Linked DNA regions of Mus musculus: all the other regions are reported to be linked to region 2. Evidence: microRNA targets listed by miRTarBase, many of them from high-throughput screens and not tested one by one. Region 2 holds a microRNA gene; each other region holds the end of a gene's coding sequence.
What was found. Region 2 holds the annotated microRNA mmu-miR-883b-3p (UAACUGCAACAUCUCUCAGUAU, at 1,464-1,485, opposite strand). A microRNA usually pairs through its seed, bases 2 to 8, with sites in the 3' UTR of a target mRNA and lowers its output. Matches are read on the target gene's strand: a 7mer-m8 pairs with bases 2 to 8, a 7mer-A1 pairs with bases 2 to 7 and ends in A, and an 8mer does both.

Region 1: the mRNA of S1pr5 is a reported target of mmu-miR-883b-3p. Seed matches in the 3' UTR shown: 7mer-A1 at 1,243-1,249.
Region 3: the mRNA of Tubal3 is a reported target of mmu-miR-883b-3p. Seed matches in the 3' UTR shown: 7mer-A1 at 1,950-1,956 and 7mer-A1 at 1,813-1,819.

Annotation. Positions count from the first base shown.
Region 1 is chr9:21,241,126-21,244,358 of GRCm38, reverse strand. S1pr5 (sphingosine-1-phosphate receptor 5) reads left to right here. Exons shown (of 3, transcript NM_053190.2): 3 at 1-1,442. The coding sequence ends at 433. Among named protein-coding and RNA genes, the nearest start is that of Keap1, 3.4 kb to the right of the region's middle.
Region 2 is chrX:66,788,437-66,791,669 of GRCm38, forward strand. It overlaps Mir883b (microRNA 883b), which reads right to left and starts at 1,531; the gene lies at 1,454-1,531.
Region 3 is chr13:3,933,268-3,936,500 of GRCm38, reverse strand. It overlaps Tubal3 (tubulin, alpha-like 3), which reads right to left. Exons shown (of 4, transcript NM_001033879.3): 4 at 1,224-3,233. The coding sequence ends at 2,939. Among named protein-coding and RNA genes, the nearest start is that of Tubal3, 10 kb to the right of the region's middle.

The DNA.
Region 1 (3,233 bases), not on the chromosome of region 2:
GCTCCTGGCCTTCGTGGCCTGCTGGGGACCGCTGTTTCTCTTGCTATTACTGGATGTCGCGTGCCCAGCCCGCGCGTGTCCCGTGCTCCTGCAGGCCGATCCCTTCCTGGGTCTAGCCATGGCTAACTCGCTGCTGAATCCCATCATCTACACCTTCACCAACCGAGATCTGCGCCACGCGCTCCTGCGGCTGCTCTGCTGTGGCCGCGGACCCTGCAACCAAGACTCCTCCAACAGCTTGCAGCGATCCCCCAGTGCTGCCGGGCCTTCCGGTGGTGGCCTGCGACGCTGCCTGCCACCAACCTTGGATCGCAGCTCTAGCCCATCAGAACACTTGTCTCCCCAGCAGGACGGGGTGGACACCAGCTGCTCCACCGGCAGTCCTGGAGTAGCAACCGCCAACCGGAGCCTGGTGCCTACTGCTACAGACTGACGCTTCCCAACCCTTTGCAAGAACAGACTGACTCGCCAAATAAGCGCATCATCTGTAGGAAATAGCCAGCGACGGAGGGGGACATACAAGAAAGAAGGGAAAGTGATTGATCACCCCATAACAAGAACAGACAAAAATGCACTCGGGATCTGAGATGGACAATAAGGGAAAGAAGAAAGTGATGAGAAGGTATCCAGGTAGTGGAACCTAAGCTGGGAAGCCCTGAAGGAGAGCCATTCCATATGGCTGCAGCAGAAATTGAGGAGCAGGAGATGAAAGGGCAGGTTGTGGGGAAGTCTTGTTGGTTCTGAGGAAGTCCTTAGGTTTGGCTCTGAGTGAAGTGGGAGCCATAGAGAATTCTAAACAAAGGAGGGACTCTCCTGGATTCAGACCTCCACAGGTACCCTGTGACTACCAAAGTTCAAGGGGAATGGCTAAAAGATGAAGGGATAAAGGAGAGCGGGGCTCCAAGAATGCTCAGAACCAGGTGATGTCTAGATAAGAGTGTGCTAAGGGCTGGCAGGAGTAGTGGCTGGCTACAGAGGAAACAGAGCTGTGGACAAAGGTAAGCCTAGGTCTGGAAATTTGGCTCTGGAGACTGTCAGATATCAGCTGCCAAACTTCCAGAGTGTGGACAGGTTCTTCATACAAATTACAACCACAATAAAAACAATTCAAGGAGTTGTCCTTACTGGGATCTTTCAGAATCTATTCATTCATCTATTGATTTTTTTTTTTAATTTTCCCCCAGAAAGTTGTAACTATCCTCTTTAAAAGTGTTTATTTATTGGGGTTGGAGAGATGGCTCAGCAGTTAAGAACACTTGTTACCCTTGCAGGGGACCTGTGTTCCATTCCCAGCACCCAAGTGGTGATTCTGGCAACTTCAGTTCCAAGGTTATCTGATGCCCTCATCTGACCTCTGAGGGCACCAGGCATGCACATGGTACAAAGATTGAATGCAGGCAAAACTCTCATACAAACAAGCTAAATAAATCTTTTAAAATGTTTAAAATTGTTTATTTATTCATTGTTTATTTTGAGAGAGACACTCACTATGCAGCCTCAGATGGCCTGGAACTCACTAGGTAAACCAGGCTGGCCTGGAACTTCTGAGTGCTAATTTGGGCTGCGCAGGGTGGGGTGGGGGTGGGGGTGGTCCTGGATATGCCTTTACTTTACAGCAACATCATTTCAGGCCAGCCTGGGCTACATAGTGAGACTGTGTCTTTTTGTTTTTTGTTTTTGTTTTTGTTTTTCGAGACAGGGTTTCTCTGTGTAGCCCTGGCTGTCCTGGAACTCACTCTGTAGACCAGGCTGGCCTCGAACTCAGAAATCCGCCTGCCTCTGCCTCCCGAGTGCTGGGATTAAAGGCATGCGCCACCATGCCCAGCTTGAGACTGTGTCTTAAAAGCCTTTATCTACTTATGTATTTTGTGCCTGTGTATATGTACGGGTACCCATTGGGCACAGCAGGAGTGCAGGCGGAGGTCAAAGGACAGCTTTCCTCAGTCGGTTTTTTCCTTCCAGCACAGGGATCCTAAGGATCCAACTCAGGCTGTCATTCTTGCCAGCAAACACCTTTATCCCCCGAATATCCTTTGCCCTACCATCTCACCCCCACCCCTGTTTGCTTTGCTTTGCTTTCTCACTAATTATGACAAACATCTACCGATTCCCTACGGTGAGAAGCTCTTTTAGACTGTTCATCAGCCTTCCCCAACCAGATTCAGAACAGCATCACCTGACTCGCCCATCCTGCAAATAGTGCCCCCTCATGCCTGCTCCCTGCTCCTACCCGCTTCCCCCCATACCCCCCACAGACAGCATAGGTTTAAACTGTTCATTAAACTTGTATGTCAACTTCGGCCATGTTCATCTGGTTCATATTCATGCGAGGTCCTTGACACCAATGACAAGGTTGCTCTGTGCCGTGGACAGGTTCCTGGACTCAGATGGTTCTGCACGTCGAGGCTGCTCCTGTGCACTCCAGGTTCAGCATGAGCACACACCCCGCAGCCCCCACACTGAGACAACGCTTCTTGTACCCAGACTGACTTTAAATATACTACGAAGCCAAAAAAACGACTTTATACTTGTGAATTTTGTTTCCTGTGAGCAAAGGTGTGCTCTGCCACACGTGGCTTATGCTGTGTGGCGACAAAACCCAGTCCCAGCCCTCAACCTCCATTTGGTAGATGAAGAAACTAACAGATTTCCCTTGCCCCAGGGTCTTAGTACGGCTTTACCCTTGGGACCCCCATGCAGGAGGGGCTTGCCTGGTATTCGCTGCTCTTAGTCTAAGATTCCCTTGAAGTCTCTGGGTGTGGGCGCCACCTTGCAGTAGCTCTGAGAATTGCCTGGGTTCTGCTTTTAGCCGCTGGTTAAGGAACAGCGCGTCCCTTGAGGTAATTCTGGGAACTGCAAGCAGAGTGAAAGCAGGTGGTGAAGGGGATGCGCTCAGGTTGGGATTGCGGGCCAACTTGCATAAAATGAATTTTTTCCCCAGAAGTTCGCGAAAAGCTAGCAGGGGTGAGGGGTGGGGATACAGTCCGGCTGGCTCCCAGAGACCCTCCCTCAGATCTCATATCTTTCCTGGTGTGTTGGCTTGGTGGTTTAACAGTAGGGAACTTAGAGATTCTGATATTAAATTTAAAAAGTACTCAGTTCCCTATTTAAATACCAAATTTAAAAAGCACTGTTGGGATTTGTAGAGACCTTCCAGACATATTCTGTGGGAAAATGACCTGAGATGGGTTTTTTGGTTGTTGTTTTTTGCCATTTTGATTTTGGAAGAGGGT
Region 2 (3,233 bases):
TGCAGTAAATACCATTCTGAGTAGACTCGTTTCCAGAGGATGTATACTGATTTTTTCTAAGCCCCCAGCTTCCATAACATCATCCATATTATTTCAATATCAAGAATAAAGAGGAGTTGCAGTCTATTCTGGTAGGTTTTAACTGTCAACTTGACACAACCTAGAATTATACAATGTAAGAAAGAGCCTCAATGGGCTGGTGAGATGGCTCAGCAGGTAAGAACACTGACTGCTCTTCCGTAGATCCTGAGTTCAAATCCCAGCAACCACATGGTGGCTCACAACCACCTGTAAGGAGATCTGACACCTTCTTCTGGTGTGTCAGAAGACAGCTAGAGTGTACTTATGTATAATAATAAATCTTTGGGCCACAGCAAGCAGGGATTGAGCAAGTGGAGTTGACTAGAGTGAGCAGAGGTCCTAAAATTCAATTCTCAACAACGATATGAAGGTTTACAACCATCTGTAAAACTACAGTATACTCCCATACATTATATATATATATATATATATATATATATATATATATATATATATATATATATATATATATTAAAAAGAGCCTCAGTGAGATGATTTCTACATTAGGTTGGACTATAGCAAAGTCTGTAGGTGATTATTTCAGTTGTTAATTGCATGAGGAAGATCTACCCTGAACACAGATGGCACTATTTCGTAGGCTCAGCTCTGGATTAGGGCTGGAAAGAGATAGGTTAGATAGGAGAGAAAGTTAGAAAACTTCCTGTTCATGTATTAGACACAGTTTTGGTACCTAGCATCTATACTAGGTAGTTTGCTACTGCCTACAACTTAAGATTTAAGAGATTCAACATTTCTTCTAGCTTCTGAAGCCACCATCATGCCCGTGATACATATAAATATATGCAGGAACATAAATATTCATAAAATAAAAGTAAATAAAGGAATTTTTCAAAAAGGGATAGAAACTATCTGACTATTAAGCAAGCAAGGATGTATTTATTCTTTGTTCTTGACTGTGGATGTGATATGACAAAGTCCTTGAGTTCTTGCCTTGAATTCTCCAGAAAGGTTAACTAGAACCTAGAATCATGAGCTGAGATAAATCCTTTCCCTGCTAAATTTCTTTTTTGTCAGGATACTTTATCACTATAACATAAATTAAATTAAAAACACATTCTAATCTTATTTCCTGAGACTCAGAGAGTAACTAATTACTGTTCTTCACTACACATTCTTCTCATAGCATTCCCTACTTCCAAGACTTCAAACTCATTATTATGTTATTATTTTCCATATTAATATATCTTAAGATGTTTCATATTCATATAACACTAGAATTAAAATTATGAAAGCAACAACAAATCTATCATGGGGATGTCTGTTTTAAAGTGACTGCAATGTATCTTGAAATCAAGAAACTCATCCACTGTGTGAAGACTATGTCCATGTGGCTACCACCCTTGTATTTGTTGAACCTTACAATACTGAGAGATGTTGCAGTTACTCATAGTACAAAGTGACTGCTACCCATTCTCAGTAATGCATTGCACACAGAATATTGAGTGAGGAAATTAAGTCTGAAAGAATTAAAAGATATTACAATTTTTTGGACTATCAAGTATACATATATAATAAATTTCTTTCTTCACAATTAAGATAAGAGCAATTATAATCTTCTTTACCTCCATTTAGCTTTCTGAAGCAAGTGATTTATAAACCATTCACATGACTTTTTATTACATTACATTGATATAATATAGTTTATACTTTATATTCTCATGATATGAATAACTGAAAACACAAAGACTACCTAGGTCATTAGATACAAAAGGTTTACATATGGAAAAAACGATTTCAACATTACCTACAGAAATGAAATCATCACTATCCCAAAGACAGATCAAGTGAGGAATATAGTCTTCTTGACTTGAAGGAGATAGGTATTTGTTATAGTCACTTAAAATCTTACAAGCACAATGTATTACAATACCTGTAAGTTACAAAGATATTCCGAAGACCCTAAGATTCAACCACTCCATATTTTTTCCTCTAAGCATTTCCTTTAACACTTGTTCCACTGAATTTTTGTCAAAACCAGAGAGATGAGATTGATTTCATTTTGGTTTTTTACATTATATGTGCTTAGCTTATACTCACTGATTAGTGCAACTCACAGTTCTGATGAAAAGTTGTTTTCTCTTTGTCTCTGTCTCTCTCGATAGGGTTTCTCTGTGTAGCATGGGCTATACTGGAACTCACTCTGTAGGCCAGGCTAGCCTCAAACTCAGAAATATGCCTGCCTCTGCCCACCCCCCAACCAGCCCCCAAATGCTGGGATTAAAGGCATGCACTGCCCAGCAAAAGTTTTTTGTTTTTGTTTTTTAAATAAGACAAAAGGCTATTTTATAAAGAATCACAACTTGTCAAAGTGTAAACTACTGTCTTTTGTACATGATAAGGCTGTTTCACCAACACACTTTCAACAGTTAATGGTTGCTCGTACAAGATTTGCAAAAGACTGATTGAGGAAGGGTCCATAATTCCCATATCTAGTTCAGGCTGCTAAGGGAGAGCTAGTATTTTTTTAAGGATAAGTCCCCTGATCAGTTAGGTGCCCATTCCCAAGTGGTAAGTATGGTCTAAATTATGTACGTGTGCATGAAGGTAATCCCTGCCTCGGGTTTCAGGGATCACATGAAGACAGACATTTGGTGTTTTTTACTCGTTAGAACCATACTGAGGTTAGAGGCATGAGAAACTAAATGCCAGGTAGCTTACACTGTACCACTGGCATATTCTACCATTCTTGTCTCTTGAAGTAATAGGCCACATGAAACTTTATGCCTAGCAACTGGCGTCTAGGTGCAGATTCTTGTTCCTGAGATCATAGGCTGTTCCCAGAGGAAACATGAACTCATTGAAGAATCATTCATCAAGTATCTTCACGACTGAATTTCATATAGTCGCTGAGGCAAGATGAGCTAAACTGAGAAAACACTAAATATAATCCAACTGCCCAGTTAAATATAAATCCAAGAATTATATTTTTACCTTCAAGATGCTACAATAAGTTCATGAGGAATATGGTGAGCATTTTTTTCATCTAGAGAAGAAGTACTTACATCTATTTCTCATGAAGGAATCCAACATAGATGGAATGCCATTGATGTGAAACTTCATGTTAAATTGCAGAAACTTCATTATTAAAATCGTTGCCTTCAGATATCCCATCATTATTTGTAAAACAAGAT
Region 3 (3,233 bases), not on the chromosome of region 2:
TTGGAGGGCCATGTCTGGATCAGAACCCTGCAACTGTGGCATGGACAAACAAGAAGGTGTTGAGGACACCCAATTGGGTGGAATACATTTATTATGCCACGTAACTCACATTTAAATTACATTTTATTGATAGTGTGCATGCAAACACAGAAGCATGTGATGACAGAGCACAAATGTGGACAGCAAATGACAACTTGCAAGAGCCACTCTCTTCTCTTCTTCCTTACAAGAGCCACTCTCTTCTCTTCTTCCCCTGTGGAGTTCCCGAGGATCGAACTCAAGTCGTACAGCTTGGCAGAAAGCACTCTGACAGTCGAGCCATCTTGCTGGCCTCTAACAGACTTTTATATTCCACTCATTTCTTTCCCTCTCCACCTTCACTACAGTCGGCTCTCTGTGAGAACAAGGGTTATGTTGTTTAGTGTTATGTCCCTAGGAGCTACACTAAGGATAAGCATATGGTATATAAGTGGTTAACAAATTGAATGAAGACATCTCAAGCTTCTTGTAGTATAAAAAGGTTACACACATTTGACTTTAAACTACAGTGTTCACAACATCTAAGAGCATCTGACTTAGAAGAATTACATTAAGCCCTTTAACTCATAATTGAATTATGAACATTTCACAAATAAGTTAAAGATTGTAATGTTGAGTAATGATTTTTCTAGTTTATGAACGTTCTTCAGACAGTTTAAGGATAATTAGTGTACTTATAGTTTAAACTTAAAAAGTATAACTAAGGATTTGTGAAAGAGTTTGTCATACCACTACAGTCCTTAAAAAGAAATGGAGTATATTAAATTCATAGTCAATCTCAAATATTTAACACCATTTACTGAAGTATAAAATCAGTACCAACAATGTGTGTGGATCCTGTACAAACAAGTGTATAGGTTTGCCTCACTGAAATGCTGGACAGATGTAGCAGCTCCTGTAATCTCAGCATTCAGAAAAAGAAAAATGGAGATCACAGAGCAAGCTGGGTACTACACTAGCAAGCCCTGAGCTCATCTTGGAGAACTTATCTGAGCAAACAATGAAGAGAGTGATCAAGGAAGGCACACACCCAGTTCAGCATCTGCCCTCCACACACTTGTGCACACATGGGCACATACATTTGTGCATACACGTGCTTCCCCACATATGAGTGCACATATGCAAATAAGCACACACACCTCACATAGACACATGAATAAAGGAAAAACCAGACTTACAAAGAGTGGGATTCACAAGGTTTATTTTAAAGTTTAAAAAACAGTTTTCACTTGAATATTATGAAGTTAATTTTTAATATAAAATAAAATCTACAAATGTTTTGTGCATGAGTGAGAGAGTGTACTTTACTAATGCCCTCTAGTGGCTAAAGAAAAAGAGCTAACAAAGGTACATTAAAGAATGTAATAAATTTTAGCTTTAAAAATAAAAGGACCTAATAAAATGCACAGGGAAAAATCATCAATTCCTACTTAATACCACATTTAATACAGAGAAATTCCATAGCTCAGCTATCCCTAAATCCTGGGTGGGAAGAAATGGAGGCTCCACATTGCTCAGGTGATTCAAAAAGGACTCAAGACAGAAGAGTTCCAAGGTTTCTGGGAACAAGTGACCTCGGAATTACATAACTGGCCATAGGCCAAGTATATTCTGGAAACCGAGAGAGACTATCTTGGTTGGATTTTATGATACCATTATGACAGATAGGAGTGGATTGTAGTTGGTATGAGTTGGGAAAGACTCTGCTCATCATTTTCAGAAGTTTATACCTTATGCCTAAAAAAATAGGGAGTCAGGCTGGAGAGATGGCACTAACTGCTCTTCCAGAGGTCCTTAGTTCAATTTCCAGGAACCACATGGTGGCTCACAACCTTTGTTAAAGTTTTTGGTTTTGTTGCTGTTGTTTTGTTTTGTTTTTTGTCTAATCCATTCTCATAGCAATAATCAAGTAACTGCCAATAACCTTCAGAGGTTGGAGAAATGGTCCAGGGGATAAAGTGCTTGGTGAACAAGTGTAAAAAAAAAACAGAGTTCAGACCTCTAGTATCCACATAAATTCAAAGAAGGCATGGCTGCCCACCTCTAATCCCTGGACCTGAGAGCAAGAACTTGCCTGGACTAGCTACCTCAGTTCATGGAGAGACTCTGCCTCAGCAAACAAAGTGGAAAGAGATTGAGAGAATCACTTGTTAGAAGCTTCTGGCTGCCACTTGACATGGCCACATGCCATACTCCTGCAGACATACAAACATGCACACACACACACACACACACACACACACACACACACACACACACACGTAAAACAAATACATCTTCCTCCAGAATAGGCCACCTAGAGAAGGAATCAGTACTTTCTTACCTGCAGGATACTCATATCCAAATTCTGAAAAGTGACCAGCAGTATTCTTGTTTGTTGGCTTTCTTCCTTATTTTGTTTGAAAAGCAAACTGGGGACTTAAAGCCCACACTTGGAAAAAGAAAAAGAAATATTCTAAAAGCATTTATGGTTTAATTGATAGTAAGTGCATAAATAATGGAGAAATGGGATTCATAATCTGTGTATTTTCTGCCTCAGGACAAAAAAAGAGGAAGCAGAAACATCACGGTTCCAAACTCCCTTAATGCGTTGTTTTAGGGAAGGGGAAAGAATAAAGCCAGTCTTGTCCTAGGAAATAAGAACTAACATAAAATTACTCTACCTAGAGGAGACCCAGTAGTTCAAATGATCCTAATCCCCAGAAGGCTCTCAGTTAGCAAAGGTGAATTCTACTGTACACAAGAAAACATTACTTTATTGTTGATATTAATACATTGAATTTAATGTTGAATTTTGCATCTTGCTGATTTGGTTTTTGCTTTCCTCTAATTCATTAGATATATAAAAAACAGAACATGAGATTTTAACTCAGCATTCATTTGCCTGGTCATCTTCTTATCAGAAACTCAGACCCACTTCTTCATAATCTTTTTCCAGAGCAGCCAGATCTTCCCTGGCCTCTACAAACTCCCCAAGCTCCATGCCTTCTGTGATGTACCAGTGCAGGAATGCCTTCTTGGCATACATGAGGTCAAATTTGTGGTCCAGGCGGGCCCAGGCTTCCACAATTGCTGTGGTGTTGCTCAACATGCACACAGCACGCTGAACCCTAGCTAGATCCCCTCCTGGTACCACTGCAGGTGGCTGATAATTGATGCCCACCTTGAAACCAGTTGGACACCAATCAACAAAC